Linked DNA regions of Oryzias latipes. The protein of the gene in region 1 interacts with the protein of each later gene in a biochemical or structural test. Links are inferred from orthologs where the notes say so. Each region holds a gene or a part of one and is shown in the gene's direction. Other genes may lie near its edges.

Region 1 (16,065 bases):
AATATTTATATATGTATTTGCAGCAGTCAAAGGTATCACTATTGCAATACTTTTCCTAATACATCCTCTACCTCAAGGGGCACTGTAGCCTATATTAAGGAACTCAGGATTTGTCTTTTTAATGTAGGAACAAATATTTTGCATGTTGAAGCTACAGTTTTGCTCTACAGGTCGTTGTATAAGACATGTCCCTTAAAAAAAACCTTTTAGTGTTGCCATCCTTTAAAAACTTCTAATGGTACTTCGACTTTAGACTTTGGATTTGAGTCTCAGACATAGGCAGCACTAAAGTCCCAGCTGTGTACGATATTCATTCGATTATTCTTAGATTTTAGCTCCACAACAATGCTGTTGGACGTACACGACACTTTCTTTGGTAAAGCAGAACTGCCAGTTATTGTGTTCCCATGAGTTGCTTAAGGGTATTTAATGACAATTTGTGATGGTAACATTTTAGGCTTTTAACTTGAAATGTCAGTTGAAGACTGGAGACTAGACTTGAACATAAATGCAGGGACTTCAGACAGGACTTGGATTTGCAAAGAGCGACCTGTGAGCATCTCTGCCAAATATTCTTTGAAAAAATGTGAATGCAAATATATTTTTTGGCTTCCACCTTTCGGCACCTGAGACAAAAATGTAAAAAATGATTATACATTATTATATTCTTTCTCTTAAATATGGTTCACACATTTGTCTCAATTTGATTTGGCCAGGATTGAATTGACCCAGGTGTGGTATATAAAGTAGACAGCATGTGTACTGGGCAGGTGTCACAGATATTTTTTTCTGATATCGTCTCCAAGTTGTGTCAATGAGGTCAATTTATATAGATTTTTTTCCTTGTCTTTATCTATTTATTTTTTGCATTCCCAAATACATTTTTAATAACAGTTTTTGGCTGTTTGCTGCCTAAAATTGTGCTACTCAGTTTTGCATTCACATGTTCCTACAGTTTTTGGGTTATTTGTGGATTGATAAAATAATACTTTTAGTCCACCAAGATACCTGTTAAGAATTTGGAATATTTAGAATTATAATCTAAGAGCTAGATGAAAAAAGTTCTAATAATATTTCTTAGGATGAACCTTACTCTGAGTTTGCAGCTGTCATCTGATTTGCTTTGTACCACAAATGAGTTCAGAACTAAAGGTCTAAACAAACCATTCCACAAAAGTGCCCATGGGAGCATTCATTTGGAAGTTGATATTGAAAAGTAAGACTTAAAAACTATGCACAAATACACATAAAGAGGGAAAAAACTAGACAGAAGGGGAGGGAGAAACATCTGTGTAATGTCATTTACATTTTTCAGTTTCAGGTTAGAAGTGCAAAATGAATGGAAAACTCAATCTGTCATTCAAAAGATGATTCTCATAATTCAGTTTAGTGTAGAATAAAGTAGTCAGTAGTTTGCTTCTAAAAAGACATTTTTCAAAAATGAATAATACCTTTATAGAATGTGGATGCTGTACAGCTGTGGCAATTATTGAATGATATAAAATGTTGACAGATTGCAAACAGCATAAGATAGAATTTGTTGCCTTAGATGTTATTGTTAAAAGATAACATAAGTACATAAAATCCACTGCATATACAGATTATCTACTTTTTTTTAAAGCAGAGTGGTAATTTCATGGAAGGTGTTCGGAAAGTAAGCTTTTCAATTCTTTTAAAGAACGCACATCACTGTGATGGTAAACATTACACTCGGAAAACATTATTAAGGCAAAACTGTATGTTTTCAACATGAGCTAATGCATAGTGATGAAAAGGTTTACGTTTGAGGTTTGTGGTCGACATTGTGAGTGTGCTTGTGTGTGCAGGGGTATACTTTATACAAACCATCACTGCACGCACTCATACACCTGTCTGTCGAGCATGAAGGGTTTCACATCCTCCCTCAGTGTGGAACTTCACCCACACTTTGAAACTACGTCATCAGGTTCAATGGAGACTCTTCGTGGGACTCACATGAATACATTAGGACCATGTGAATCTGTTTTGTTACTTCATGCATTTGTATCTGAGCTGAATGTTAACTTGGACTAAAAGGGCTGATTCCCTTTTTCCAAATCAGATTTGAATGTATGAGAAGAGGCTTAAGACTTCAAATATTGAGGAATGATATTAGTCATTGAGTTGTCAGAATAAAAGCACCAAAAATAAGATAAAAAGCACAAGAGAGATCTAATACCACTAGTCAACCATGTGTGAATCTTTTTGTTTCACTTGTGGTCTCTGTCTTAGACAGCTACACCACTACAGTTAAACTATTGAAATTTGAATTTGACTGTAAGAGCTGCTTCTGTTTCTTCATCTGCATTCCAACCAAAAGGCGGCGTGAGATTGGCAGTGGCCTAAGAACTGCTATGGAGAATTCTGGAATCTAAAAGGAGTGGATGTGCAAGGGTTGCAGAATCCCGCTTTGCTTCAAGTAGATGTCCTCACACTTTCACATACCTGCCATTCAAACACTACAGCATTGTTGAACAGGACCTAAGCTTTACAAAGTGAACACCTGTGTACACCATACACACCCTTCAGCAGTAACCCATGCTGAACTCAAAGCTGACATTTCAATAAAAAGAGTTCTTAAGATTGTGAATAAATTAGAGATATATTTGTGACAAAAAAGATATGCATTAAAGAAGTCCATAGTCTTTGGCGGTTAGGCTCTGGGTTGATGACGTCTGTCATGCTGGTGGGATAACGTTGGACCGTAGAGGAATAAATTCCAGAGCCTGAAATGGTGGGGAACTCAGTTATTTGTAGGGAGTGACGGTTTTGAAGGAGTGATGTAACAACCCCAGAAGTGATGAATTGTAGATCTTCCTTATTGACATGGCACCAAAGCTTCACAATAAAATCAATAGAAACAAACAAAAAAAAAATGTCATTTTGCAGGAACTTTTAAATAGCTCGCCATTACTTTGGTTTTTATCATCCTGATTTAAGGCTGAAGCACACACATGATGCATGTTTATGGCAAACAACTACAATGTCCTTCAGATGTAGTTCAAGTTCCAGCAGATACCTTGTCCTCATGCAGAGTTCTTCCAAAAGACCTGTACTCCAATTCTTTACTTTTCCTTGGGGAATTCAGCAGTCTACTGTCAAACTGATGTTTCTGTTTCATGTGTACATCACAAAATACTGTAGAAAAACACAAAATCAAGATGTGTTTCGTTGAAACTGAATTAATTTTTCCAGTCATGTACAATAGAAAACCTTTAGAAAGGAACAATCCAATCACACAAATATTTTACATTTTCTTTATTTATGTTAAAAACCATTACAAAGAATTTAAAGTCTTTAAAGTCCCACTCATATTATCTTTTCATCTATTGTAAAATAGTCCCCAGAGGTCTTTTAATTATGATTATGCCATTTTTAGCCAAAAAAAAAACCTGTTGTTTTCTAAGACAGTTTCTGCAGTTTCTGCTCTCCCGCTAGTTTACAACCCCTCACAACCTCGACCTAACATTAGCAGTGCAAAAAAAAAAAAGGCAGTCAATATTGGAGCTATCCTAGGTTTTGAGCTAGATGCTAGCTCAAAGGTCGGAAAAGAAGGCAGAGAAGGCATACATGGATCTATTTGTTTGCAGGTGGATGCATCAGCATGGAGCGGAGCAGGGAGCTTGTGGCCTACTGATTGTAGTTTGTAGGTAACTAGGCTCTTTTTCAAAAGACATTTTTTCGTCTGCACTTGATTCACTGTGATTTGCATAAAGAAATACTCAGGTATGTCATTTTAATTTGAATTTGAATTTTCATCATACCTCCCTGCAAGAACATTTCAAAAGCACCATTTTCTTTGGAGTGGGCCTTTAAATTTAGTCCACTTTTACAGATTGAAAAAATGTTGAAGAACTCAACAAAAATAGTTATAATATCAAATTAGTTTATCAATATTATAAATGGTCAAAAGAAGACCCAAAAGTTAAAATATATAGTAAGACAATAAATATATATTTTTAAACCCCAAATAAAGGCCTATAGGCATGAATCAAAGTGTAGAATTGGGCTTCATTTATTCAGATTCTCTTCTTGGGTATTCCACATTGTTTTGGCTCAAATGGTTCAAATCAAAGGGAAAGAAAATCAGATTCTGTGGTAAAGCTGAAGAAGACATGAGCGCATGCTTTCCAGCCACCGCCTGCTGACAGAACCGCCACTCTCAGGCAGCCTTTAAACATGTATATCTGCTACGCACACACGCACACGCACACGCACATGCACACAAACACACACCAACCACTTCCATTTCCGCCGTGTAAAAAAAAGATGTGACGTCGAAGCGGCTGTCATGTGATCCGCCCGCGCAAAGCTTTCGCAGCGATGGATACGACGGACCTGGACCTGTGACGCACGAGCTCTCCTCTGTGTAACCCTTTACTGGCCGTTGAAGCACTGCAGAACGACGACGAGGAGGAGTTCTTTGAGGAAGATTTTAAATATAGAGAGGGCAGGTTTAGAGCTGAACTAAAGCTGTGTCCGTTTATCTTTTCATAATAATTTGACTTGTCAATTTACATCCATGCCTCCATTCAGATCAATCAATCAATCAATCAATCAATCAATCAATCAATCAATCAATCAATCAATCGTATTTATATAGCCCAACATTACATTACAACAATAGTCATCTCGATGGGCTTCATGCCGGTAGTTGTATAATAAACATGAAATCGTAAAGAATCAAGTGTGTCGTTTTTTTTTTTAACTAACCAAAGGGCTTCATAACAGTAAAGACAAACACTGACATAAAGATGGGTGAAAATAATAAAAACTTAAGATAAAAACATCACACGTTTTAAAGACCCACTCATATGGAAATTGTGTTTTTCGGTGTATGTTATTGTGGCATTTTTCTCATGATGAAGGACATATATAAAGAAAACGAAGGTTAAAGTTGCATTTCTGATTATTTCTTCATTCAAATTGTTGTAAGTCAGGATGATACCAAAAAAATGAGGTTGGAAAAAGCCTGTAAATGTAACTTAGCTGCTGCAAATGTTCACAAAGTATACGTCTTTGTTTTACTTCCTTTCCAATCAATAAATACATTTTATATATATATATATATATATATATATATATATATATATATATATATATATATATATATATATATATATATATATATATATAAATAGTGCTTGTGTGAGGATTGTGCACTCCAGTACGGTGTTTTAATTATTGTTTTGAATATGTCTTGTCACTCCTGGGGCTATTCCAGAAAGCAGGTTATGCTAGTTACCTCGGTAAATTTGAGGCTAAGGAAGCGGATAACCTCAGCTTTCAGTTCCAGAAATGTAGGTATGTTTCAGGGTATGTCAAGTTGCCATAACAACTAATGCTCTGAACATGACCTGGTTTGAAGCAGGTTTAATTGAAGGTTAGTCTGTTTTTAGAGAGGTGAAGGAGCATGGCGTTTCCATTTGAAGATGATTTAGTGGATGTAGAAGCTCAGATATACTTTTTCCACCGTGAGAGGGTGATAAGACCATGTATGGATGTTGGAAATATAAACTTTTTTTTACATAAACTAACTTAAATATTTGCTTCAGTTAAGATAAATCTTTTTTTTTTTAGTTAAGTCAGTTTAAAAATAACACATAGTCATCAGACAGTTATTTTACTTTCATTCAAATGAATTCAATTAAGTAGTTGTAAGTTTGGTGCTGCTGTTAGATTGGCACCGCAAGGAATTGTGGGATGCCATTCCCTTTGGCTGTCTGGACGGATTTGGGTTTAAGTGTGGGTTTTTGACCAAATGTGTTTAGTTGTTTAGCTGTTTTACTGTGTTTTGCCAAGTTATTTGTCCTGTTATGTTTAATTATTACTGCACCATGAGTGAGAGGGAAGGAGAGGATGATGAGTTATTTAGCACCCCTACCACATAATATTGTGAAGTTAAAGTTGGAGAAATTACATATGCTTTCATACTACATGTCTATTGTGTTTCTTTCATTTTATTGTTATAAAAACGAGAATATCTACAGGCTCAAACTTAGACATATGAGAGTTCAAGAAGTACAATAAATTAATATGGAAGAACATTTAATTGAATTGGAGTAATATGACATTTAGTTAGATAGATATGTAAATTTGAGTTGTATAAACAATTATTGAGTTGGATAGACGTAAGAAATTAGGTTGAATAAATTTTACTCAATTACTTGTTACCAATAGAAGTAATTCATTTAAGTTGGCAAAGTTGGATAATTTATATATATATATGCGTCACAATGAATATAGAAATGAGATAGAAACTCGTGCGTTTACTCTGTCTCTTCTTTTTCTCCAAGCAGAAACTCTTTCTTTTAAAACAGAATAGAATGCCTTTATTGTCACTATACACATGTACAATTCGCATCACACGCGCATACAGTGAAATGAGAGCTGATCACTGTACAGTGAAGAAATGCAAAAGGAAAATTATTTCACAAAAAATGTACAATTTACTAAGTCCAAAAAAATGTACAGTAAAAAATTTAGCTGAAAAGTTTTACTTTCCACAGTGAGGTAGGTATTGCACTGCTATGCCCATGATAGCAGAGATATAGTGCAAATAATATATTGCACATAATGAGAGACAGGAGAAAGAGAGAGAGAGAGACATGGGTGTGTGTGTGTGTGTGTGAGTTCAGGATTGGATGGTTATTTTGCTGATGATGCAGCCGTATTACTTTTTTGATGGGCGTATAATCTTCACATGCTGTCGTTGAAATTTCTGACTCCGTCTCACTGAAGTATAGCACTCGCTTTTGTTCTTCACGCGTTTCCATGGTGACTCCGGAAATCGTCGATCCATTGAGAATGTCTTTATCTACTTGCCATGCTCGTGCATTAACCCAGGGTTACCAAGTTGAGCGTAATTACGCTAACTCATATCCGGTCTTTTGGAACCGACATACCCAGAGTAAGCAAGTTCAGGCGGATTTCAGCCTAGAGTTCAGGGTTAAAGTCAGGGTAGTTTAAACATGCTTTCTGGAATACCCCCCTGGTTCATGTTACTAATCATCCACAGCTGTCTTCATTTGTTAAGTGTCCCCAGCCTAGTGTCTGGTTTTCAGCTCTTCATCGTCAGCGTATCTGCTTTATCACCTTTTTTTTTCTGCATGGGTTTTTGTCATGTTCTAGTTTATTCCTTAAATGTTTAAGGTTGCTGTCCACCATAAGACTACACAAGAAGAAGAAACGTTTAAGTTTCCACCACCAAGCCTGGTCTCCAGCATCTCCTACATCACCAGTTCTTGACAGCTTGCATGCCTTAGTTGCTGACATTCTGCACACATTATCCAAGGGTATGACAGAAAAATTCTTAGAGTGGCTGCCTCTGACCGTGTTGGGAATTACAAACAACAATGCATTGAGATGTTGGAAGGACCCAGAGTTAAAAACAATATAACGGCCGAGAAGCTTCACAGCTCTAACATATCCTAATGTCTCCAGTTTACTGTCTAAAATTTGGGAATCAAAGTCTATTACTTGGATAAAATAAGTTGAAAAGACAAAAAAAATGATTAAATGGTGCTTTTTGCCTCCAAATTTAAATTATGTCTCAAACCTTTCTGGTTTACTAAATTGTGGAAATGGAAAATGAACAACTGAAATTAGCTCATTAGACAAATATTGAAAGTGAGACTCAATCAAATCCAAAACCGCAAGTAAATAAAGATGTGTTAAAAGTGAATCAGTTCCAGATTAAACTTCCCTAAACTTGTGTTATTCATTAAAAGTCTCAAAAGAGAAGTGAGACTCCTGACTCATCAGGGGGTTTAGCTTTTTTGCTTACTAACATCTTCTAACAAATACTACAAACATACTTTTTTAATGTAACATTGTTTAACTGAACATTGTTCTAAGTGTTTTGCAAATGGTTTTTATTTAAGTTTTTTCTTTCAGATGTGCTGAAAACGAAGGCATATGCTGATCGACACCCACAATGACATCAGTGCACCACCTCACTGTTTGTGCTTTCCTCTTTTTCTCCATGGCAATAGTGGTGTGAGCAAAGATCGTCTCTTAAAAAGATGAACAGCAGAAAAAAGCTTTGGATTTTAAACCATTGGAACATACCAAACTTTCAAAGACTTTAATTAAAATTGGATGTCATAATTGTGTGTTAATTCTGTTATTTTGTGAAATCAGGGTTAATTGGTAGAAAGAACGGCTTGAATCAGTCCATAAAGGCTGTTCAAAATATTGTCAAAACTGGCTCCCTAATTTGCTTGTAACTTTGGTGTGTGTGGATTTTTGTTGTTGCTTTATTTAGGGGAAAAACGTAAAGCAGAAAAATTATTCGAAGTTGTGTACTACTTTTAGTTTTTTTCTTATAGTATTTATTTCAATGTTTACAGTTTAAGTTAAAAACACATTTCAACAGAATCCTAAGGAAACAGAGTATTTAAAAAAGTTTTTAAAGTGAATTTACAAAAATTAAATAAAAAAGTGTATTTTAAAACACCTGACAAACGGTGCAATAATTCAGATCACTCAGTTTCCAGTATTATATTTAAAACATGTGTGTGTTCGTAACCGGATTATTTGATTTCATTATAACGCTTAGCATTTAGACGGGTTAATTAGGAGAAAATTGATTCAGTTTCATAACTACTTTTTGTTTTCAAAATAAGGCTCAGAGTGAGCCGCCTGTCTTCTCTCCCGTCATATCTGCTCAGCTCCTTTCTTAATTCAGAAAACGTAATTTCTGCCCATCCCGCCGCGTGCTCTGACGTGACATTATGGAATGTTCAAGTCTAAAAGAGCTCGAGGCGGTGTGCGCGAGCGAACATTCTGACTCAACCGTGGAGCTGCCAGCATTGAAAACATTTTTACATCGTTTTAACGCCTTTCCCTTCAGTGAGATTATGGGCCGGGCATTTTTCTGAGGGAGTGTCGCGCAGCCCGGTTTTTTTTTTTAATCACAGTTTTACCCACGGAAATGATGAAGAAGGACATTAACCTGAGCCTTTCGGACAATTCCGACCTAAAACCGCATATTCGAGACGTTGACAGCATCCTGAGCTCCACAGATTTGGGGCTGCTTAAGCTGGCCTCTCCCGAGCTGGAGAGACTAATCATCCAGTCCAACGGAATGGTAACGACGACGCCGACCAGCTCCCAGTTCCTGTACCCGAAGACGGTGACGGACGAGCAGGAATTCGCCGAGGGCTTCGTGAAGGCGCTGGAAGACTTACACAAGCAGAACCAGCTGAGCGGAGCCGGGCAGACGAACAGCAGTCTGGACCTCGGGGCTAACATCGCTCCAGCCGGCGTCCAACCCGACCTGCCGGTGTACACTAACCTGAACAGCTACGGCGGCAGCGGCCCGCTGGGGACCACCGTCAACTACTCCACGGACACCGTCCCTTTTCCGCCTCCCCCGCCGCATCATTTGGGGGCAGCCCCGTCGCAGCCGGAGCTCTCCCGGGTCCAGCCGCTGAAGGAGGAGCCGCAGACGGTCCCCGACGTCCAGAGTTTCGGGGAGAGCCCCCCGCTGTCTCCCATCGACATGGACTCACAAGAGCGGATCAAAGCGGAGAGGAAAAGACTCAGGAACCGAATCGCAGCCTCCAAGTGTCGGAAGCGCAAGCTGGAGCGGATCTCCAGGCTGGAGGACAAGGTCAAGACGCTGAAGAGCCAGAACACCGACCTGGCGTCGACGGCCGGCCTGCTGCGGGAGCAAGTGGCCCAGCTGAAGCAGAAGGTCCTCAGCCACGTCAACAGCGGCTGCCAGCTGCTCCCCCACGAAGTACAAGTGCACTAAGAGACAGACGCCCCGGAGGCTCCTGACCAGCACATAAGCTTGATGGACTTAGTCCGTGTTGGTCTCTGTAGCCCCGTGGGACTGTTCAAAACGGGGTTCCATGTCAGCTTTGGTAGCAATTCCATCCAGTCCAAATTCAAATGGTGATTAATGCTCACCATCTGATTGAACAGATTAAGTGAAGTCCAATTATGTATTTGATCAGGCTCATATTCGACCCTATAGAAATCTTCTACCTCGTATGTCTGTTTACAGATGAGAGCAAATGGATTGAAACAATGTAAGATCATCATTTTTTTCTCCTATAAAAAATGTTTACTGACTGGATGCAGTCTCATACATGGACCAAACGAATATATCTACTTCAATGGGCACCAAAAGATGGGTGCAAGAAAGACAAATCCCCCACATTTGATATCTAAGATGATCTATATACAGCATTTATTGTATGTATTGCATTTCTGTAAGGAACAGCTTGCATGTTGCTGACCAACTCGAATGTTGCCCTTGGCTTGGTGTCACAGGGGACAGGTTTACCAGTGTTTTTATTTTCATTTTCACATTAACATGTGTGTATTTATCTTTTTACTATTTTTTTTATACTTTATTGTGTTTATGTCTGTGTATTTTCATTTTTAACATTCAGTTGTAACCAGTTTGTTGCACTGACTTGGTCAAGTCTACTGTGACTTGGCTTCATACACACCATCGTGTTCTGAATTAAATGCTGCTCTACTATAAAACCGTGTCTGGTTAATGTCACGTTTGCAACACAAATCTAATTAAAGAGCAGAATAATGACTGGTTAAAAAAGAAATACCGGTATTTAAACATTTTATTCCGTAATCCAAGAAATTCTCGTACAAACATCATTTGTAATCTTAATGCCAGATTCATGATGTTTTTGGGGAAACAAACTGTTCTTGTTTAAATGCTCAATAATTCTTGAATTTGACTATTGTATCGTAAAATTAAAAGCCCTAATTAAATATGCTAATTTAGCCCCAATCTGTCATTTTGTAGAAAAAATTATAATATTTCTGAATTTTTGGAGTGGGTGTATTGATCAGTATGGTGTCGTGCTCCCTCTGCTGGTTGAATAGAATATTAACAGCAGGACACCACTGGGTAACACGCCTAAACTGAGCAATAACAGGAGTATTGAGTGAAATATTGTAATTGAACATTATAAAATCAACCCTCAGAATAGTTTTAGTCTACTATCAAATACTTTTTTGTCATTTAAAGCTCATTTTACTGCATAATTAGTGTCTGTATTCAACTGGATAGGCAATCCTTTTCATTCTTCTAGTTTACATGCATGTAATTGCTTGTAAATTCACATTAAGTTCGATACAGGATAGTTTTCATAATTTATTTTGCTAAATTGTAGTCAATAATCATATAAAACAGCCATCAGAAAACTCAAATAAGGTGGTTGCACGTGACCAAGCCTATGCAGAGTATAATTTATTAATACATCCTATTTTGATAATCTGCTTATTGAATGGCAGTGCTTCCTAAATAGAGCAGATTATAGCTGTTGGAGCAGAAGTCAAAAGTACAACATACTGCTTCAGTCAGTGTGAGGAAAGATTGCAGCCAGAAGGTAAAATGTCACTTTGATTTGTCTGCTCGATGCCAGGCCTGTCACTTCCAATTATCATCTGCTGGGTGCAAGAAGCTGCTGCACAGAAGTCACACAGTTTACAACTTTTATACAGATTGGTCTATTTCATGTTAGGCTTTGTGTTCAATGATATGTTGGTGGTCTTGAAGATTTTTTCAAAGTTAAGGCAGTTTTTTTTATTTTGTGAACCCATAAAATCTCAAAAAATAAAAAAAAAATCCACAGTTGGGTGCTTATTAGCTTTTTTTTTAATTGTTTACCACAAATTACAGATAAAAACATCCACAGTATGTCCTCTCATCTCAATGGCCCAAACTGTAAGGATCTGAAGAGGCAGTGATACGAGACCAAATAAGGATACATGTTTCTGCGTGCTTGTAAAATATCTACTGTCAGCAACCTCTATTAAGCTGGATGGCATTTGTTTTTGTATGCTTTGCTGCAGTGGGTATTGCTTTGTAACTGAGTGACACATTCATTCACAAGCAGGCCTAGAAATGAATGCAGATACAGTACATCATGGCTATTTTGGAGTTTTCATCTTTTCCACCTCCCTCCCCTCACCTCTTCTCTTTTTTCCTGTATTTTAATGCAAGCCTGATTCGATACAACACAATCCACACATTTAAACTCAAAGATACAGTATTTACAGCGCAGGATTATATGGAGAGGAAGACTTATTAGAAAGGAGAGCAGTTTACTCGTTTTTACTGGAAAATAAACAGTCACAACCAGTAAGAACAGAAACATACACAGGGTCAAATCCTCCAGCTTTTATGAAGTCCACCATTTCACCAATCGGCCTGTTTCATCATAATATTTTACTGAACTTAAACCAAGAAGATTAGGTTTAAATGTTGTGTAATTCTAAAATTACTCTTTGATTATAAATAAAACTTGCAAAACTGATTCTGTTTATCTTTTTGCCTTGAAATTACTTTGAAATTAGTTCAGAAATTGGTTTTGTACCATGTTAGGGGAGCTGTGTGACTTTGAAATGTAACTGCATTGTTTATCCAGCTTCAACCCAAGATGCCAGCCAGGTCAACCCCCTCCTGTTTTGATCTCTGCCGTGAACAAACTTCGGTCCACACTGAGCCTGCAGAGGCTGCTCTGTGACTCTGAGAAAGCTTCATCCTGCTTGCTGATGAGTTAAAGGGAAAAAGCAGGATGTTTTAACCTCTATGAATGTTGCAAATGAAGAAATATGAACTGAGATCCATTCTTCAGATGTCATATTTGTTCAAAACAGAGACACTGATGTATGTTAATGTGTTAGTTATCCTGCCAAAGCTGAGCACCAGAAAAAGAAGATAATACTAGTTATGAGCTTGATCAAACTGATGTTGCGAATCGCTGCAGTGGTCTCAATATGTTTTGATTTATTTAACTCTATCAAATTCTGTTTCTATCCTAAACTGTCTTTACTCACTTTTGTGGGGGGGTTTTAAGAGAAAAACAAAATACCACAATGTGCAACAAGTGAGAAGCTGTCACCTGCATTAAAGATGAAAAATAAATAAAAAAATAACCTAGTGATGTTAGTTAGTTCAATAAAGCTGTTGTATGGTACATAATGGCTTTCCCATATCCTTTCATTTTTACACCTGTTAATAAAGCCACAACAAGGGCAAATTTGTGGTGCCTTGATTAGACACTTTAACACATTTCTGATGACGTTGCAACTGCTCAAACAACCTTCTCCAATAAATAAGTCACACAAAGATGTTATTCTGTGTTTTAGTCAGGGGAAATCCCACCGTGTGGATTCAGCAACTGGAAAATAACAGGAATAAATAACAGTCTATGACAGTAAAGTTTGTAATTTGGATTTCCAAATTCAATTTTCCGGGCAAGAAAGGACATTTCAACATTTCTAATCTTCCCCGTGAAGCTGCCTGCACACATCCAAACAAACACCACAACACAGACGTCTCGTTTTAGATACTGTCCTTTGAAGAACTTATTTTAAAACTTTTTTCAAGAAGCGCATTCTTGGTTTGTATCTTATTTATATATATATATATTTATATGTATATTGCACAACATTTATATGTACATTTTAAATAAATATAATTGAATACGTTTCTATTCGGTTTTTGCTTTTTTATGCCAGTTAGGTTGTTCCTTTCTTTGCCTCCAAGTGTTAGTAAATAAATGAAAAGTAGAATGAATGACACAAAATTTATGATTAGAAGAGAAATGCAAAAACATAAGATTAAAAAATGCTAAAAGGGGAAAGCTAGCTAAGATTGTGGTTTTCAGTGTTATCCTTATAGATGGATGAGAAAATAAAACGCTTTACATGACGCACAGCACAATGGTTTTGAATTCATTTTAGATGGATCATTTTCCCTCTTATCTAATGCCACAGCTTCCTTTTCATTCACCAGATCAGGCTGGCTTTCTTTCCCTAAACCAATATGAAACAAACTAGTGTAAACGTTGGAAGGATTTAAATGGCACTCAGAGGATGTCAGCCGTCAAATCCTTCAATGGGGAACAGTAAAACCATCAGCACCTCAGCTGCAAAGAGTCTGAAATGCTCTGGCTGGATTGAAGTCGCTCTGGCTTTGGTTAAGCGTGTCTTTTGAGAAAAACACCTTTTTCCCCTATTACATAAAAGAATGAAGGGGCAGACACTTTAAACGCTGGAACGTTTGGACGTCAGAGCATTTCAGTAACTTTCAGCTTGTGTTGTTTATTATCAACCCATGAACCAACATAGGTGAGAAAAGGGGGATGAAATAAGGACCTGAGGATCTGGGGTACAGCTTACGAAGGACAAGAATAAAGACGAGAGAAACGGGTTGAAAAAATGAATGCGTCTTAACATGCACAGTCCTGGTGAGGAGGGGCGGGCTGCTCTGTGAGCTGAGGCCCTTGTTTGGCCCCTGTAACCGCAGGGTCACCGGCGTCCAGACTCTCAGACATCTTTTCACAAATGATGTCGACGAGGCGCTCAAAAGTCTGCTTGACATTGATGTTGTCCTTTGCACTGGCCTCAAAGAACTCGAAACCTGGAGGACAGAGAAGTGCAAGGCGGTCAGGTCAAAATGGCATTCCTTCTCTTTTCCTGTAGAGACTGGCAGATCATTGAGCAAATTCTTTTAGCAAGTTAGTGTTCAATTGATTTAATTAGGTGTTACGTTTTCTTATCAATCACACCAGCTTTAATCTGACTACTATCCAAAGCTATTTTCTGTTTTGAACTAACCCTCAGGATATATCAAATTCTAGTTGTCAGTTTATTTGTCAGATTATTTATTTACAATAATTTAGTTCTCCCTTATTTCAAGTTTATCACAGTTTATCAATAAGTCCTGATCTCTTGAATTTAGACCTAGCGGCTAGAAAGCTTAACTGGCTGGGTGTAGGACTGTCACACAAGAAATCTGGGTTCCAATCGGGGTGCAATGAGCTAAAACCCTGGTTCTCCCTGTGCCTTGAAAATACAGGGTTATGTCAGGAAGGGCATCTAACGTTAAAAAATCTCTGCCAAACCAGACGCTGTGGCGACCCCTAACGGGGTTAGTCAAAAGGTGAACAACTTGGTTTCTTGTGTTTAGGTCATTTACTAAAAATGACCAAGCTGTCATGCACTGACACATTTGTCAACACGTCAACCACGTGTTGAAAATGAATGAAACACAATATCTTCAATCTCAGATTTAAAGTAGAAAAATGAGCAAGAGGATTTGTTTTTTGACAGTTTTATACCATTCAGTCAGTTTTGTTTTAGCAGCTACTAAAAAAAGAAAAGTTTATTTAATCAATTTATGACACAATTGATGTTCAGATTTCATGACAATGAACTTAACACAAACATTTTCATGTTTTTTCTGGATTTTCTGTCTTTGAACTATGCCAAAAATGGAAAAACTGAAGTCCTCTATTTCAAGCATCTCTAAGTAAGGACACTATAAAAAAGCAAAGACATTTGGCTTTTGTGTTTCTCTGTGTGGGGTCCCTCCCACATATTTTCAGTGCTGTTTGAAATTCTTTTTAAAAAACATTTTACAGTTTTCCCCCCTAAAAACAATCTAAAATCTACCACTTCTGTGACCCCAGTGAACGCAGGATGGCAATTTTGAGGGATAAAGAAAACACTCACAAGCTCAGAAATAAAACATGGAGACCCCTCACAAACAAATCCACCACAGAAACCCTTGAGGTTTTAGCCTTTCTTTTTAAATATATGTGTTTGAATTCTAAAGAATTGGATCTACAGTAAAGTTCTTTTGATTAAATAAGCATTTAGCAAAGTTTTCTTGCTAGAACAGTTTGAACCAAAAGTAGCATCAGATTGACGAGGCTCTAAGCACGAACAGCAATAAATCAGAGATGTGAAGTTGTGGAACTCACCAAGGTGTTCAGACAGCTGCCGACCCCTATCTGCACTCACCACCCGTTCGTCCTCCATGTCGCACTTGTTTCCCACCAGCAGCACCTGAGCGTTGTCCCACGAGTACGTTTTAATCTGAGTCGACCTGGGAACCAGGACAAACAGGAGTCTGATTGGTTTCTCTGCCAGCCACGTTGATATACCAAAGCTAACTTCAACCTCTACTAAGTGCACCCCTGCTAATTCAAATGAAATGCAATTGTGTTTTTGCATTAGCAAAATTGCAAATGTAAACTGCAAATGCAATTAAAA
Region 2 (16,229 bases), on another chromosome or scaffold:
GCCTTTCTGGAGGTGGCGTCTCGGCGCGCCGCCATCTTGGAAAGGTATAAGTGCCCCCGCAGTGCCATTGTTTCCATGAGGAATGTGTATTTAGTCAAAAAAAAAGTTTTATTATGCTTTCTAACATAATCTGACATAAGATACAGCTTGTTAATAAAAAAGTAAAATGTTTAAGAAGTAAAACAAGGATGACGATTATTTGTAAATTTTTTATTTTTTTTATTTCTCTCCTTTTTCTGCAGTGCTGGGGAGCCAAAAACCATTGGGGGAAAAACTGAGACATGTATTATGTAATATTAATAAAAAGAATGAAAAAACTTTCAATTGTAATACAAAAGAGAAATGACCTTTCAATTTTTCAAAAGATGACTAAAACGTGTTGATAACAGTAACAGATCTAACTACAGGCAAACATAGTTGTAAGAAAATATTTTTTTACAGATCTTGTCACAAAAATCTGATATTTGGTAAGCAATTTAATAAAATAAACAAAACAAATATTTTGTATTATAGATTTTCAAAACATGGCCTAATTATAAATAAAAAATAGATCAGTAGAATAACTTTGGAAGTCCTCCAAGTGACTACGTGGAAACGTGTTCCCAGTGGTATTTTAATTATGATTATGCTGTTTTTAAAGGAAATTTTTAAAAACTGGTCATTTTCTAATTATTATATCCCAACCATCCTATCGAATTAATCTGTCTGAGAAAAGTTGCTAATCAAATGGATTCCACTTATTTCATTATAAAATCTTTTCAAAATGAAAAAAATGGTTATAATCAATATCAGAAAATACCATTTGGATTGAGGGACGGTAGGTTTATTTTATGATAACGTAAAAACGACAAAGTACCATCACAGTGGACAAAATACATGAGATGTCAGCCAAAAAGCTGACATCAAGCTAGCATTACGGCAGGCGACAGTAGCTGCAGTTACACATGCAAAATGTATTTGATCGGATCAACGATTGGATTAGAATTGGACTTTGTACATGGGTCCAGAAAAACTTTATCTGATTATAACAAACGTTTACATACGCCACACTTTCGATTGGAAAAAGTCATTTTGACTTGTGCAGAACTTTCTAAAATACCAGAAACAGCTGCAGTAGAAGAAAAAACAAATAATGCAGCAGCATGGAACGCGATGGTCCTCTAAACGTGATTTTATTATTGTTAGGACTATTATTAAGTGCCTGTTCGGTCATAATTTTTTTTAATCCGTGTGGCCAGTGCTTTTTCTTTGGCAGCACAGAGCTGGAAGAAGGGTTAGGGTGAGGCTAATACTACGAGCTAACAACACTTAGCCATAGAGGCAGTTTAAATTCATGCGGTCATTGCCGCGATGTGCACTTTGGCTGAACGTAAATACGTTGCAATAATGTCAGCCTTACTTTAGTCTGGACACGATTGGAAACACAAATTCACATGATTGTTAACACTGCATTTCTGCTTTGAAAAGCTGCCTCTGTTAGCTCACACCGTCCCAAACCGGTCCTCTGCTCAGAGACACCGTTTTACCGGGAGACACAGTTCTCCTGAGTCCAGCAGCTCACTCACGCAGAGCAGCCGGACAAACTGTGGTCCGAAGCCTTCTCCGGAGCGCATGCCATAACAAAGCACCTTCCCCAGCTCACAAACACAAAGCTACTAGTCCGGCTGCTCTGCTCTGAGACATGGTTTGCAGCCGGCCGCTCCTGTTTGCACTCCAAGTCCAAAGACTCCTTCAGAGCACCACACCGTCTACGCATGACCTACACCAGTAGTGACCCACGATCGGAATAAACTGTTTTACATGCACCACCATCTGATCAACAATCGGCATAACCCACCTATCTCGATCGGAAAGAAGTTTTGATCCGAATGTTAACATGACATATTTTTATCCCAATTAGGTGTTTATTCCGATTACGTTTGTTCATGTAAACAGAGCTACGAATTGGTCCAGGTTGGCCTGAGTCAATGTTTCTATGGCAACTACATTTTCTAGTCAGGAGTAAACTCCTTTGAAGTCCACACCCCAGTCTGGCAATCAAATGTGGTGTGGGCCAGTGGGCACTACATGGTATTATTGAGGCATCTGATTGGTCAGTTATAACTTGGAAAAAAAGAAAAAATATCATAAAAAATATGGATTGGCAAGAAAATGTTAAAACAAAAGTATTCGAACAAGAATAGCTATTTCGACAAGTAGAATGAGTAGCAGCTCGTCATTTCTCAATAGAAGTCTGTGGGATTTTAGCTTCTTGGAGACAGTAGCTACTTCCTGTTTGGAATGCTAGGGGAGAGGGATCAATCAAAGTGAGCTCCAGAACCACCGGTCATTTGGGGTACTGCAACGTTTTGCCACGTGCTGGACGGGTTCACCCTCACCCACCCACCCCGTCTGGAAAAGTTACTGCTGTGTCAGAATCCGCTTAAATCCTAGAAGTTCACATGCAGCCTTCCTCAGAGGGATGGCATCATCATCAGCTCAGACAATTACCGGAAAGCTCGAATCACTCAGATCAGTGCAAAGGACCCTACTGGGCTGCCGTAAGACTTAAAGCTATAAAGCCACATTAACGTGTCCGTAATCATGCTGTGCAGCAGCGGGCGCACGAGAAGAAACAGAAGGAAGGTGGGGGGCGGGGTAGTTACTGAACACGTAGTGACTGAGATGGAGGAGGAAGAGCTGCAGCTTCCCGGAAAGGATGATGCAACACAGGAAATAAACACTATGTATGCTGAATCTGAAGACTCTTTCTCCAGTTTTATCATGACCCAACAAAGCCTCACAGCGGGTATGTGATGATGTTCTCTTCTTTGTAATTCTGCTTTATTAGGAATACATTCTAATTTGTTATATGAGGGTAAATTATGCTTTCTTTTTCTTTTGTTTTGTCTGTGCAGAGTTTGAATGGAAGAAGCCCAGTCCTCCTCCTCCTCTTCTGCCCATCTCTGCTTCCCTGCAGAAGCAGATTACGTCACCCTCTTGGTTCCGGGAAATTAAACCCCTGATGCTCCTGGTGGCTTTATTGGGAAGCAAGCATGGACCCAGGAATTATCAGCATAAATGCTGCGAACGCCTTCTAGAAGTCTGGATGGAAATTTGAAAATAATTTTTTCTTACTACAGTTTTTCTCAGTCGCTTTAGTACAATTCTCAGATCAGAATTGAAGTTTGCAAATACGTGTGTGCATTTCTCAAAACAATTTGTACAAACAGCAAAACACAATGGTTTTCTTGCAAAAGCCTGTAACTTGCTCAAAATCTTTAGTTCATCTCTCCAAACTAAGTCTTTATGTCATTGAACATGTCAGTGCCATCAGAATGTCAAGTCCTTGTGTCATTGTCTACGAACAAGACAGTCAAATGACTTAGTCATGTTGTCAATATAACTGTGTACTTTAGAGGGAGGTTCTGATGGAAACTATGGCTAAAGTTTGGATGACAATTATTGTAAAATGGAAGTTACACCTTTTTTGTTTGATTGCAAGAGACTGGACAAGATTCACATTTACACTTTTATTGTTCTTATTGTAATTTGTTGACAGACCATGTCATACCAACATAGAAAAAACCCACTGCAAACAGTAACACAAAGGGAAAAAAAGATAGGACAATATTCTGTCCAACAGTACAGGAAGTGCAGTAGGAATTGGTGTGGTCTTCCTACACCTCTTGTCGTTCCTGTTTGTTAGGACACAAATTCTCATCCACATCACAGCGAATATCCTCTCCAGCAATGCAGCGAAATATGTTTGTCACATTATGACAACTCGGTCAACCATTTTGCAGTTAATGACGATGAACTAATGACTAGGTGTTTTGAGGAGTAAGACTATTGCACAGTGAACTATATAATACATTTTGATCAACATGACATAAACAATTGATAATGTAGCAAAGAGCAGAGAATTGTACAGAATCATTTGCATGGATGTACCAAAGCAATTGCAACTTGTTCAAAGAAGTGAGAAACTGCTTATATGATGTGCACAAGTGACAACATGATGTGAAGATTGAACAAATAGTTTGGGGAATTTCATTCTGATCTGAGAATTGTACTAAAGCGACTGAGAAAAACTGTAAAGCAGTGAGCAAACATGCAATCGCACCCTCCAACTCCCACTGAAGATTTGCTGTGGCTTCAAAAGACTTTAAGAAAGTTAAACAAAAAGAACTACATCACCTGACCACGTGGAAATTCTAGCAGAAAGGTGTTTCACTTTCCCTTTTCTGATTCTCAGAATGAGACTCCTGCAGTTGTGTCACAGTGAAACCAGAGGGGAGCAGCTGGCCTGCTGTGAACTCCTGCTCACTCGTCCTTTTTTCACATCTGTTTTAGGCACAAGATTCGAGACATACAATTGCTGGTTTTTCTTTAAAAACAGCAATTGTTCTGAAATCAAGTCAAACTTCTGTGTTCTGCTGTTTTGAGCTTCCCACATAAACGACTCCGACACCAGAACCTGCAAAAGTTTTTAGTGCAGGTGGGGAGCTGTTGATTTCGACTGGTGATATTGTCGAGCAGTAGAAGGAAAACTTCCAAGAACTTCCAAGATCTCCTCGATCCTGCTGACACACCTCCTCTTGAGGAAGCAGGGGCTGAGGACTGGGGTGGGGCTGTCCATCACCCAGGCTGAAGTCATTGAGGTAGTCAATGAGCACCTCGGTGACAAGACCCCGGGAGTGGATGAAGTCCGCCCCGAGTACCTTAAGTCTCTGGATGCTGTGGGAGGGTCTTGGCTGACACGTCTCTGTAGCATCGCGTGACAGTCGGGAACTGTACCACTGGACTGGCAGACAGGGGTGGTGGTTCAAGAAGGGAGACCGGAGGGGGTGTTCCGACTACCAGGGAATCACACTAGTGTCACTAGTGACAGTGTCACTTTAATTAATTGTAAAGGTGATTTGTTTTTGTTTTTTTGGTTTTGTTCAGGAAGAAGTTGCCATTTTGTATGACTTACAATGTTAAGTAAAGTCCAGTGGAGTTTAGAAACAAAGGATTTGTATGTTTGTGTCAGTCTGGGGGGGCTTGAAAATATTCTAATCTTCAGAAAGGGGGGCCCTGCAGAAAAAGTTTGGGAACCACTGCACTAGACAGTGAACCTTTTTTCTTCAATGATATGTTATCTTCACTGGTGTCCATGGATTACATGAAATCTTTCCACCTTTATCCACCTTTGTCATGGTAGGGAGAACACGTCAATGGAAGGGGGGGGGGGGGGGGGAATCTAAGATAGCACAAGGGTTATTCTCTCCATTCCTGCAGAAATGCCCCAGCTCCGTCTACATATGGCTCCACCTTTGTGCATGTTTGGATGCACATTTCTGTGAGAGAAGCTCTTCTCAGTGATGAAGACTAACTAAACAGCAGACAGCTGTCGTCTCACTGATGATCACCTGCAGTCCATCCTGAGAATCTCCACAACACAGAACCTCACAGCAAACACAAACCAACTGTGTGACACAAAACGATGCCAGACGTTCAGCTCTGATCAAATGACACAGGAGTAAAGAAAACAGAATGATATGATTTGTAAACGCTGAATTTGTATAATTTGGGCAGGATATAATCTTATGGAGAATAAAATCTTTTGGGATATTTACAATTTGAACTTAATTTTTGTATAAAATGACATGTTTAATGAAATTTGAATTTTTTTCTTTAATATTTACTTTATTTCTATCTTGTTTAATTTTGAGAGTAGAGCAAAATAAAGTTATTTAGAGTTTAAGTTGATTTATTCTGGAACAACGTTTTAGATTTATGTTTTAAAAAGTTGTAAAAGTTTACATTTTTAAATTTTAGTTTACAACAGTAGTGACCCATTTACAAACGGGGGGGGGGGGTGCAGGAGGAAAACAGATCTCTAAAGAGAAAAAAAAGGAAAGTGATCAAAAAGAATGTTTTAAAAGTTAAAAGCCATTTAATTTTATGTATTTACCTGAATCTATATCTATCTATCTATCTATCTATCTATCTATCTATCTATCTATCTATCTATCTATCTATCTATCTATCTATCTATCTATCTATCTATCTATCTATCTATCTATCTATCTATCTATCTATCTATCTATCTATCTATCTATCTCAGGTGCTTTGGGGGGAGAAGGGGACCCCCGTTTTGGTCCTTGGGTGGCATCATCACTGGATCAGAGTCTATAAATAAGATGATGTCATCCCCCTCCCCACCCCCACCCCTCCTACCCTCGCAGTCTAGTAGGATTCCTAGGTACTGCGTCACTAAGCCCCGCCCCTGGAGTTCCTATAAGTGGGTGATGCAACGGGAGAGACGAGAAGCGCAACTCAGTACTGCGGAACCGAACGGAGCAGTCCACGCCGGAACCAGAGCCGGAACCAGAACTTTCAAAGGTGCGTTCCTGTCTTGTGCTGGAGGCGGGGAAGGGGGGCGCTTTTCCGCCGGTCCGGTCCGGTCCGGTCCGGCCGTGGCTCTAAACAGAAAGCAAACTGTTTGTAGGTGCTTCTCGTTGAAAGACTTAGTTTCTGTTCATGGAAGTGTTTCTATTTGAATCCTCCGCTTTAACCTTCGTTTTCTGCTTACCAGTTTACCTTCAGTCAGTAAATAACACTCAAAAACGCCTTAGGGAGGGAATCGAACCGGTGTGATGATCAGAAGTTCTTCTTCCGTTGTAGCCGCGGATGTTCCTCTGAAGGAGCAGAACCTCCTTCACCTGCTGTTACACAACAAATGTGTTGACTCTTTATCTTCATGATGTCATTATTACTCAGCAGAATCTGTCCTGGAAGTCTCTGGTTAGCAGTCAGAGATCTTTAGGGTTCATGTGGGCGTTTCTGCCTGAATGTAGTCAGTTAGTTTATGCTACTGGAAACCTGTGTGGAAAAACATTGATACTACACAAATACTAGATAAAAAAACACCAAGCCACATATAAGTGCAACATTAGCTAAAAAAAAACTAAAAAAGTTCCAGAGCAAAGTATTTCTTGTAAAAAGCAGAGGGCGTGTTCAGGAAGGGGCTAAAGAAAGTCCAAAACCAGAAAGACAAATGGTGGGAGGGGGGACGCTGAGCCTGACTGTGACTGAAAGTCTGCCGTGTCTCCAGAATGATGCTGCAGCACCTGGGACCGTCATTGGCTGACATCAGCTGCTCAGCCCTGGTCCCCTGCCTGTCCCCCCCAGGAGAACTCACTCTAGAAGACTTCACCAACTTCACCCCCATAGTGAAGGAGGAGCTCCGTCAGGTCATCCAGAACAAGCGACTGTCCTGCGGGCTCAGTGCAGACGCCAGTTCTGACAGCGCCAGCTCTGCCTCGGACCAGGCCCCGCCCACCCACGAGTCAGGGGTCAAGAGAGAGGTGAGGCAGGTACTCCCCCCACGCCAGTCTGTTGCTGAGTGGATTCTTTATTCAGAACTCTGTGTGGGTTTCAGCTGACGCTAGAGGAGCACGACAGGAAGAAGAGGAGGCGAGAGAGGAATAAGATTGCTGCTGCAAAATGCCGCAGCAAGAAGAAGGAGAAGACTGAAGGTCTGCAGAAGGTAAACTCTGTTTTCACCAGGCTGTAACCAGGAGCTCTTTGGAGGACATGCATGAGACCAAGTGTCTTACTACCATCACAGTTTACTCATTTAGCAGATATGTAGCTTCTGTGTGCTTGAAACGGAAGCCTGAAGGTTGCCTCTGTGAACCTTCATCATTTCTGATAATGCAGATTATTCTGCTTATACTATGGTCACTTCCCAAAGAAATATTTAGTACTTTATTCTTGTTTTTTTTTTTAGGTTTTCACAAAAATCAGACTAAGTTATATGCAGTACGTTGTCATGGTAATGGCCATAGAGACTGCAGCGGCAAAAGAAAGTGATTCATATGCTGATGGGTTGAATAAAGCATCAGTTCAGTGTGAAAGTTCACGTCTTACTGCTTCTTTTTGTCCAGATGAGGAAGTTAAAGTTTGTTTCAAAGAAACTAACTGTAAAGTCTAAATAGTTCAGTTCCTCCTCTTGTCGTATTTCTTCCTTCTAGATCCACTTCTCTCTCGTTCTCTTTTGCTGCAGTCTCTAAAAAGATCAAATTAACCAAACAGGTGAAAGGAAACTATAAAATCACTCATGTTTTCTACTGTCTTACTGTTGTAATAATCTGGAATAAGGCATGACAAACTATGTTTGTTTATGTTTTAATGGTGATAATCGGAATACCGACTTGTGTTTAGGCCACTGCAGTGATAAGGAACATTTGGGGGGTGTGACTGGAACTTCTTTTTTAGGTGTGGGATATCACTTTGAAATATACACACTGCAACCAATCAGAATTAAGTATTCACCTGGACAATGGTATAGAGACTTAACAGATTCTCTGAGGTGGAATTAGTCTTTCTAGAAAAAAGATCTGAATTTGAGGCATTTTACAAATGGAAATACAATTTCATGAGGAAAAGAAGATAAAAGTTTGGTAAGAATTAAAGTTGTCAAAAAACATTTATCCTCAAATGAAAAGCGTGTCCCGGATCTTGGTTTCTCTTCAGCAGCTTCTTTTGGTTTCAGACCTGGAACTTTTTTAACCAAAGCAGCTTTCTGATCCCTCCACCTGATGTTCCAAAAGACTGAGCCCCGTTTGTTCTGCGTCTGCTCCTGTTAGGAGTCAGAGAAGCTGGAAAGCATCAACGCTGACCTGAAGGCTCAGATCGAGGAGCTCAAGCAGCAGAAGCAGCAGCTGGTCTACATGCTGAACCTGCACCGACCCACCTGCATCGTCCGGGCCCAGGACGGACAAACCCCAGAGGACGAGAGGAACCTCTTCCTCCAGCACATCAAGGAGAGCAACTTCCAGCTTCACAGCCTCACCTCCACCACAGAGGGCTTGCTGGGGGGGGGCCCGCTAAGCCTTGACCACATTTGCTGTCCCGCTGATCTATGACTGAGCAGAGGCTGCCCCCTACCAACATCAGAGACTAGCTGAGTGTTAGCCTGACCTGAACAGGCCTGACCCAGAAAGGACTGCGGGCCACACTTGGCTCACACAAAGCTGCAAAAACCTGACTATGCACTGAGGGTTGTGAGGGAGGGGGACATCTGTCATGCATTTTTTTTGACATTACACATATCAAAGCTTTCCTGATGGTTATGTTGGTGTGTTGCACTGAAGTCAGATTTCAACAAAGCACTTTTTCTGTTGGCTCAGCCCGGCCTGCACAGCAGCAGCACCAAAGTGAGAACAATTACTGAATGACTGCTGTATGTTCCGATTTTCCCAAACAACCTGGCTCTGTCCGATGTCAGGAGAAAGATCCAACTTGCTGCTAACCTCCACTTAGGACGTCACTTATTATTTCAAGTTTTTGTTGTTGATTTAGTGACCCACCACAGACCAAGTCCTGGTTATCAGCCCTGAACCAGCTGGGAACTGTGAATCTAAACAGCATCTGCCATGCCGCTGTTTAGATTGCCTTTGACAGTCATTTTTGTCAAAATGTTCATTTTCTTTCCTCATTCTCTCTAAATCTGAGCGACTTGAGAGCAGTGTTTTCAGAATCACATACCTCCCCTGATTTATTTATCTGCTTTAACCCTTTCACTGGTTGGTGGAAGTGCTCAGTTACCATCAAGCTCTCGATTCGAACGATTTATTTTTCGCTTTACCAAAATGTCTTTCTTCTAATAGCCAGTGCTTCAAACGGACTAAGGTAGAACTTGTCTTTCTGAAAAGTACTAATATGTACATTCAATCAAACTGAAAAGCATTGTTTGCTTGCTTTCTGGAATATAATCATTGGCTTTCAGTTATATCATTATATATTATTTGTTTTTGTTTTCAAACTCAGTTTTGCTCTGAACTTACTGCTGTCTCTCTAAAAGTCAGTGGTTTCATTTTGAGTTGCAGTCTTTGTTTTTTTCTTGACATAAAGGAAATATTCCAATGATTGCAGAAAAATGACTTTTGAAATATTTTGATAAAAGAAAGTTTCCGACCTACCGACACTTGCATTTTTTTCTGAGCTACTGTCTCTCTCAGGTTGCAGAATATCAAGGGTTTGATGGTAATGAGAGCTAAACTTTCTTTTTTGAGATGAGTAAACAATTGTTTGTGGTTTCTTAGTTGTCAAATATCAAAAGATGCAGGCGTCTGTGTATGTGTTGTTGTGTGTCCACTGCTCGTCTGTGTTCTTCCTCTATTGCTATCTGTCAAGCTTTGTTTTTGATACTTACATTAAAAACACCATTAGCCAATGAAACCTGCTGTCCTTCATTACTTTATCTCACTTTCATTCAGCTACTGAAACCAGAAAATAGTCACTGTGCATCATGACTGCTGCTGTTTATGGTTATGGGAAATGTGAGCTCTGGACAGGACTATGTCAGACTCAGAGTACAACTGTGATCTAGCACATCAGTCTGGGTGGATAGGTCTGAACAGGCAATAGGCAATACTGGTGGAGACTCTGGTTGCTCAGGAGTTCTCATACTGGGCCTGAACAGCTGCTAGTGCTCCAAGGCCTATGTCAAGCCGTCACATCTTTAACCTTTGTGTTATCCTAGGCATTTTAACATTGGGAGTTGGGTCATCTAGACCCACTAGACAGTGCTCTGAACCTTTTTTCTTCAACGATTTGTGATCTTCACTGGTGTCCATGGATTACATAAAATCTTTCCACCTTTATCCACCTTTGTCATGGTAGGGAGAACACGTCAATGGAAGGGTGGGGTCATCTAAGATAGCACAAGGGTTAAGAGTGAAAATGTAACATTTCACATCAACTGAGATTTCATATTAATCCTCGTCTGACGTCCATCAGGCGACTGATCGTCCAGGTCTGGTGTTCGTCGATGACACGAGGAGGCGGAGGCGGGGGAGCGGTCTGATGGAGACTACTCGTGGAGAGGGGCTTGATCTGGGACACATGGACACGCATTGTCCGTGGCAAACGCAGCTGGACCGCCACAGGATTGACCACCTTCACAACCTCGAACGGACCGATGAACCGAGGCGACACAGCCAGTGCGGCGGTCTCCACGGCAGAGGGCAGCTTCTTTAGGGCTATGAAATGGGCTGCTTTGGAGAACCGATCCACCACCGTCATGACCACGGCTCTCACGGGTGTGAGCCTCCCTTAATAGTCCTCTCTAGTTGCCAGGTGACAGCACCCAAAACATGGTCAGCTGGGATCACGGTAGTGGGCTCCCGCTCCTCTACAACCGGTTCCTGCTGCTGAGAGAGGGCATCAGGCTTAACGTTCTTGGAACCAGGACGGTATGACACCAGAAAATCAAAACGGGTTAAAAACATGGACCACCGAGCCTGCCTAAGATTCAGCTGCTTCGTGGTCCGGATGTATGAAAGATTTTTGTGATCCGTCCAGACCACAAACGGCTGAATCGCCCCTTTTAGCCAGTGGCGCCATTCCACCAGAGCCAGCTTAATGGCTAGTAGCTCCTTGTCCCCTACGTCGTACCCCGCCTCCGTTGGGGTAAGACGCCGAGAAAAGAAGGCGCAGGGGTGGATTTTACCGTCGGTAGCAGAGTGCTGGGACAAAACAGCCCCTACCCCTGTGTCGGAGGCGTCTAATTCGACTATGAACTGACCGGAGGGGTCGGGTTGGATCAAAACCGGCGCAGTGGAAAACAATGACTTTAAACGTAGAAAAGCAGCATCAGCAGCATCTGTCCACTGAAAAGGTACGGGGAGGGAGCTAAGACCCGTCAGAGGTGAGGCGACAGAACTGTAATTACGAATGAATCTAGGAGGAAATTTGTAGGAAATTTGCAAACCCCAAAAAACGTTGAAGCTGCTTCCGGTTAGTGGGAACGGGCCACTCCACCACTGTGCTCACCTTGGCCGGATCGGATCGCACCTCCCCCTCGGCAGTGACAAACCCCAAAAAAGAAACACAAGAGGAGAGGAAATCACACTTCTCGGCCTTGACATACAGTTTATTCTCTAACAACCGCTGGAGGACCAGCCGAACATGCCCCCGATGTTCGTCCGGGTTCAGCGAAAAAATAAGGATGTCGTCTAGATAAACAAACACAAAATGATGAAGAAAAACGCGGAGCACATCATTTATCATGCCCTGGAACACAGCAGGGGAGTTAGACAGGCCAAAAGGCATCACCAAATACTCGTAGTGACCCAGCGGGGTGTTGAATGCGGTCTTCCACTCATCACCCTGCCTGATCCGCACCAGGTGGTAGGCATTCCGCAAGTCCAACTTGGTGAAAATCCTAGCCTCCTGCAGGGATTCGAACGCCGAGTTCATCCGGGAAAGAGGAAAATGATTTTTAACCGTAATGCCGTTCAGCCCCCTATAGTCAATACATGGCCGCAAGGAGCCGTCCTTCTTACCCACAAAGAAAAACCCAGCTCCCATGTGGGAAGAGGAGGGACCCGCCTTCAAAGAATCAGTCACATACTGTTCCATGGCCTCCCTCTCAGGCCTCGACAGATTGTACAGTCAGCCCTTAGGCAGAGGGGCGCCCGCCCGCAGTTCAATGGCACAGTCATAGGGCCTGTGCGGCGGCAAGGAGAGAGCCTGGAATTTAGCAAACGAAAGCGTCAATAAGCGCCGAGGGATTCCATGCGCTCTCGGCCGCGAGAGTCCGGAAGTCAATAGCGTAATCCGCCACTCGGCGCCTCCCCTGGCGCAGCCGCATCAGTGCCCGGGCAGCCTCCCTACCCGGCCTCGTATGTTGAAATACCTGGGTGAAAGCCTCCAGGAAGGCTGGGAGCGAAGCGCAGGAGGCGGACCCGCGCTGCCACTCCGCCGTGGCCCAAGCGGCGGCTCTGTCGGTAAGATGTGAAACGATGAACGCCACCTTGGGGTGATCCGTGGGGTAGGCGGCCGCTTGTAGCTCGAAGCGCATTTCGCACTGCGTGATGAACGCCCGACAGTCCCCAGACGCACCGGAGAACCTCTCCAGTCGGGCCAGCGGAACCGTGGGAGCGAAGGACGTCTGGCTATCTGGGCGGATGCGGAGGAGGGCGGCTGCACCGGCGGCGGCTGCTGGAGCTGTTGCGCCAGCTGATCGATGCTGCTCCTGACGGTTGGCCATCTCCAGCATACCCCTGCGTAAGTAGTTCATCTGCTCCTCCTGCTGGCAGAGCACTCTCTCCTGGTTGGAGGACTCTGAACGCGAACTGTCTATGTCTGCTGGGTCCATGGTGACCCATGGCGCAGACGCAGGGACTCGTAGTCAAATCGTAGGTTTTAATAACACTCACGATCGTAACAATAATCCAAAATGAACCCGTGACAGGGACAGGATCAGTGTAGGCTAAATACCCTCCAGGTGATTCAGCAACAGGTGAGACCAATAAGGTAAAGACAGAACGAACGAGCAGAGACAAAAAACCGGAAGTGTCAAAAAGAAAAAACCCAACAACCGCCCTGGCCCAGAACCTGACAGATAGAGGGAGGGCATTCCAGAGTCTGGGTTATTGCCTGGAACGACTGGTCACCTCTGGTTTTATACCTGCTCTTAAAAATCTTTAAATGATTTTGATCCGAGGATCTAACCAGGAAAGTCCCATTGAGATTAAAAACCTCTTTTCCAATGGATTCCTGGCCAAGAGGCAGCACATTTCAATACAAAAAATACATAAAAACAAACATTATTAAAACCACATACATCAGAAAAAGCAGTTGCACATTATTGTTTCAGCCTCTGATGCTTTGAGCTTGTCCTTAAAAACATTTAAAGATACCAGTTCAGTCAGTTTCCAGTCTTTCTGCAGCATATTCCAAGCAAAAGTAGCAGAGTTCTCCCAGCTCTGTGTGGGCAAATGGAACAGAAAGCAACAACTGGACTTTAGATCTTAAGGAGTAAGATTCCACACTTCTCCTTTTAATTAAAGAACAAATGTAGGGAGGCAGTAATCCAAGCAAGGCCTTGTAAATAAAAGTGTACCAATGTCCCTGCCTCCTAGTGGCCAGAGAAGGCCATTGTACTCTTGAATATACGTCACAATGATGCGCGTCATTGATCTACAGTTGGTAATGAACCTCAGAGAAGCATTATTGTCCAGTTTGTCCAGAACCGGCTAGAGAGGATGGTCTGGGTTGTCCATGATGGATGAGATCTTGTTCAGTGACCTCCTCTCCATCACTGCTTCAAATGATTCCAGTTTGCAGCCAATGACAGAACCCGCCTTCCTGATCAGCTTCTTCAGTCTGTTGGTGTCACTGACTGCAATGCTGCTTCCCAAGCAGACCACAGAGGAGAAGAAGGTGCTGGCTACCACCGACTGGAAGAAGATCTCCAGCATCTTGCTGCAGGCCTTTCTGTGCACAGCAGTACTGTGGCTCCTCCAGCTCAGTCTGTTGTCTGTTGTTGATAGTCACTCCTAGGTATTTGTCCTCCTCCACCACTTCCACATCCTTGCCCAGGTTGCAGAGATGCTGCAAGACTGGCCTCTTCCTTCTGAAGTCGATCACCATCTCCCCGGTCTTGTCCACATTGAGCAGCAGGTGATTCCCTCCAGCCCACTCCACAAATCCGTCCACCAGCCTCCTGTACTCCTCCTCCTGTCCACCGCTTATACACCCCACAACCACAGAGTCATCAGAGAATTTCTGTAGGTGACATGACTCTGAGTTGTGCTGAAAATCTGAGGTGTACAAGGTGAACAGAAATGGAGAGAGCACAGTGCCCTGTGGGGCTCCCACACCACTCAGCACCACGTCAGACAGGACGCCGCCCAGTCAGAAACTGTAGCCTGTCTGTCAGGTAGTCAGTGATCCAGGAGACAGTGGACGCACCAGCACCCATCAGCCGCAGCTCATCACCCAGTAAAGAAGGCCGGATGGTGTTAAAGGCACTGGAGAAATCAAAGAAGGTGATTCTCACCATGCCTCCACCACCATCCAGGTGTGAGTGAGAGAGCTGCAGCAGATGGATGACAGCATCATCCACCCCCAGGCGCGGCCGGTAGGCAAACTGTAGGGGTCCAGAGAAGAGCTCACCACCGGTCTCACTTGAGCCAACACCAGCCTCTCCAGCACCTTCATCACGTGAGAAGTGAGGGCAACTGGACGGAAATCCCCGGGGTGAGATGGAGAGGTCTTCTTGGGTACAGGGACCAGGCAGGAGGTCTTCCAGAGAGGGGGGGCACCTTCTCCAGTCTGAGGCTCAGGTTGAAGAGATGCTGGAGAACCGCAGACAGCTGGTGGGCACAGGTCCTCAGGGTACGAGGGCTGACGCCATCCGGGCCGGCTGCTTTGTGCTGGTTAAGTTTCTCCAGCTGTTTCTTCACCTGGCAGGCTGTTACAGTCAAACAGGGAGGGAGGGGGGTGGTGGTTGGACTGCGGGCCCAGTAGGTGTGGTGTGGTGGAGGGGGGAGAAAGGTGAGGAGGTGAAGGGGGTTCATGAGGGTGGAAGTGCAACAACTGAGAGGCAGCAGGAGCGGGGGGGGGGGGGTATGGTGGAGGTGGGGGGGAGGAGGCTGAAGCATTCAGAGAGCTAAACCTATTAAAAAAGGTGTTAAGCTCGTCAGCTCTCTCTTTGCTGCCTGTGATGGGTCTGCTTCTCCCCCCACAACCTGTCATCTTCTTCATTCCAGACCACACCGCTCTCATGTTGTCTTGCTGGAGTTTGGATTCCAGCTTCCTCCTGTAGGAATCTCTCCCATTCCTCAGTTGATCCCGTAGTTGGTGCTGCACCCTCTTCAGCTCCTCCCGGTCTCCAGACCTGAAGGCTCTCTTCTTCCTGTTCAGGAGGTTCTTCAGGATCAGCAGTGGCTGATCCAGGGTTTGTTGTTGGGGAAGCATCGAACAGTTCGAGTAGGCACAACAGACTCCTCACAGAACTTAATATGTTCCCTAATGCAGTCCGTCATGCCATCAATGTCCTCCCCATGAGGCGTGCAAAGAGCATCCCAGTCTGTGGACTCCAGACATTCCTGCAGTGCCTGCTCCTTTTCTGGAGTCCACCTCCTCACAGACTTTTTGTGGACACGTTTCCACAGGGCAATAGAGACATTGTTCGGGATAAGGTGAACCAGGTCATAGTCAGACCTGCTGCATTCTTTGCATTTGCATTCAGTAGATCCAGAGTTTTATTCTCCAGAGTGGGACAGATTACATATTGATTGAAGTCCCCAAGCATTCTGTCTATGGTGAAGTCGTTAAAGTCTCCAGTGATAATGCAGAAGGAGTTAGGCTGCTTTGTCTGCAGGCGGGAAACGGTGGTAGTGATGACGTCAGCGGCGGTCTCAGCATCGGCAGATGGAGGAACATAAACATTCACCACCACAACC

The links.
Region 2: the proteins of jund (region 1) and atf3 form a complex in vitro, tested with the Homo sapiens proteins (2 studies listed by BioGRID and IntAct, with this or other methods). The link is inferred for Oryzias latipes from reciprocal best matches to the Homo sapiens genes JUND and ATF3.

Annotation. Positions count from the first base shown.
Region 1 is NC_019862.2:13,814,777-13,830,841, reverse strand, and holds jund (transcription factor jun-D), read left to right. Parts: upstream 1-8,707; 5' UTR 8,708-8,953; coding exon 8,954-9,778; 3' UTR 9,779-10,779; downstream 10,780-16,065. Other genes in the region: rab3a (ras-related protein Rab-3A), read right to left, coding at 14,238-14,428, 15,774-15,898. UniProt on the Homo sapiens protein: Transcription factor binding AP-1 sites.
Region 2 is NC_019882.2:23,401,972-23,418,200, reverse strand, and holds atf3 (cyclic AMP-dependent transcription factor ATF-3), read left to right. Parts: upstream 1-6,244; 5' UTR 6,245-6,275; coding exon 6,276-6,369; intron 6,370-7,081; exon of another isoform or gene 7,082-7,082; coding exon of another isoform or gene 7,083-7,158; coding exon 7,159-7,334; intron 7,335-7,408; coding exon 7,409-7,516; intron 7,517-8,618; coding exon 8,619-8,897; 3' UTR 8,898-10,212; downstream 10,213-16,229.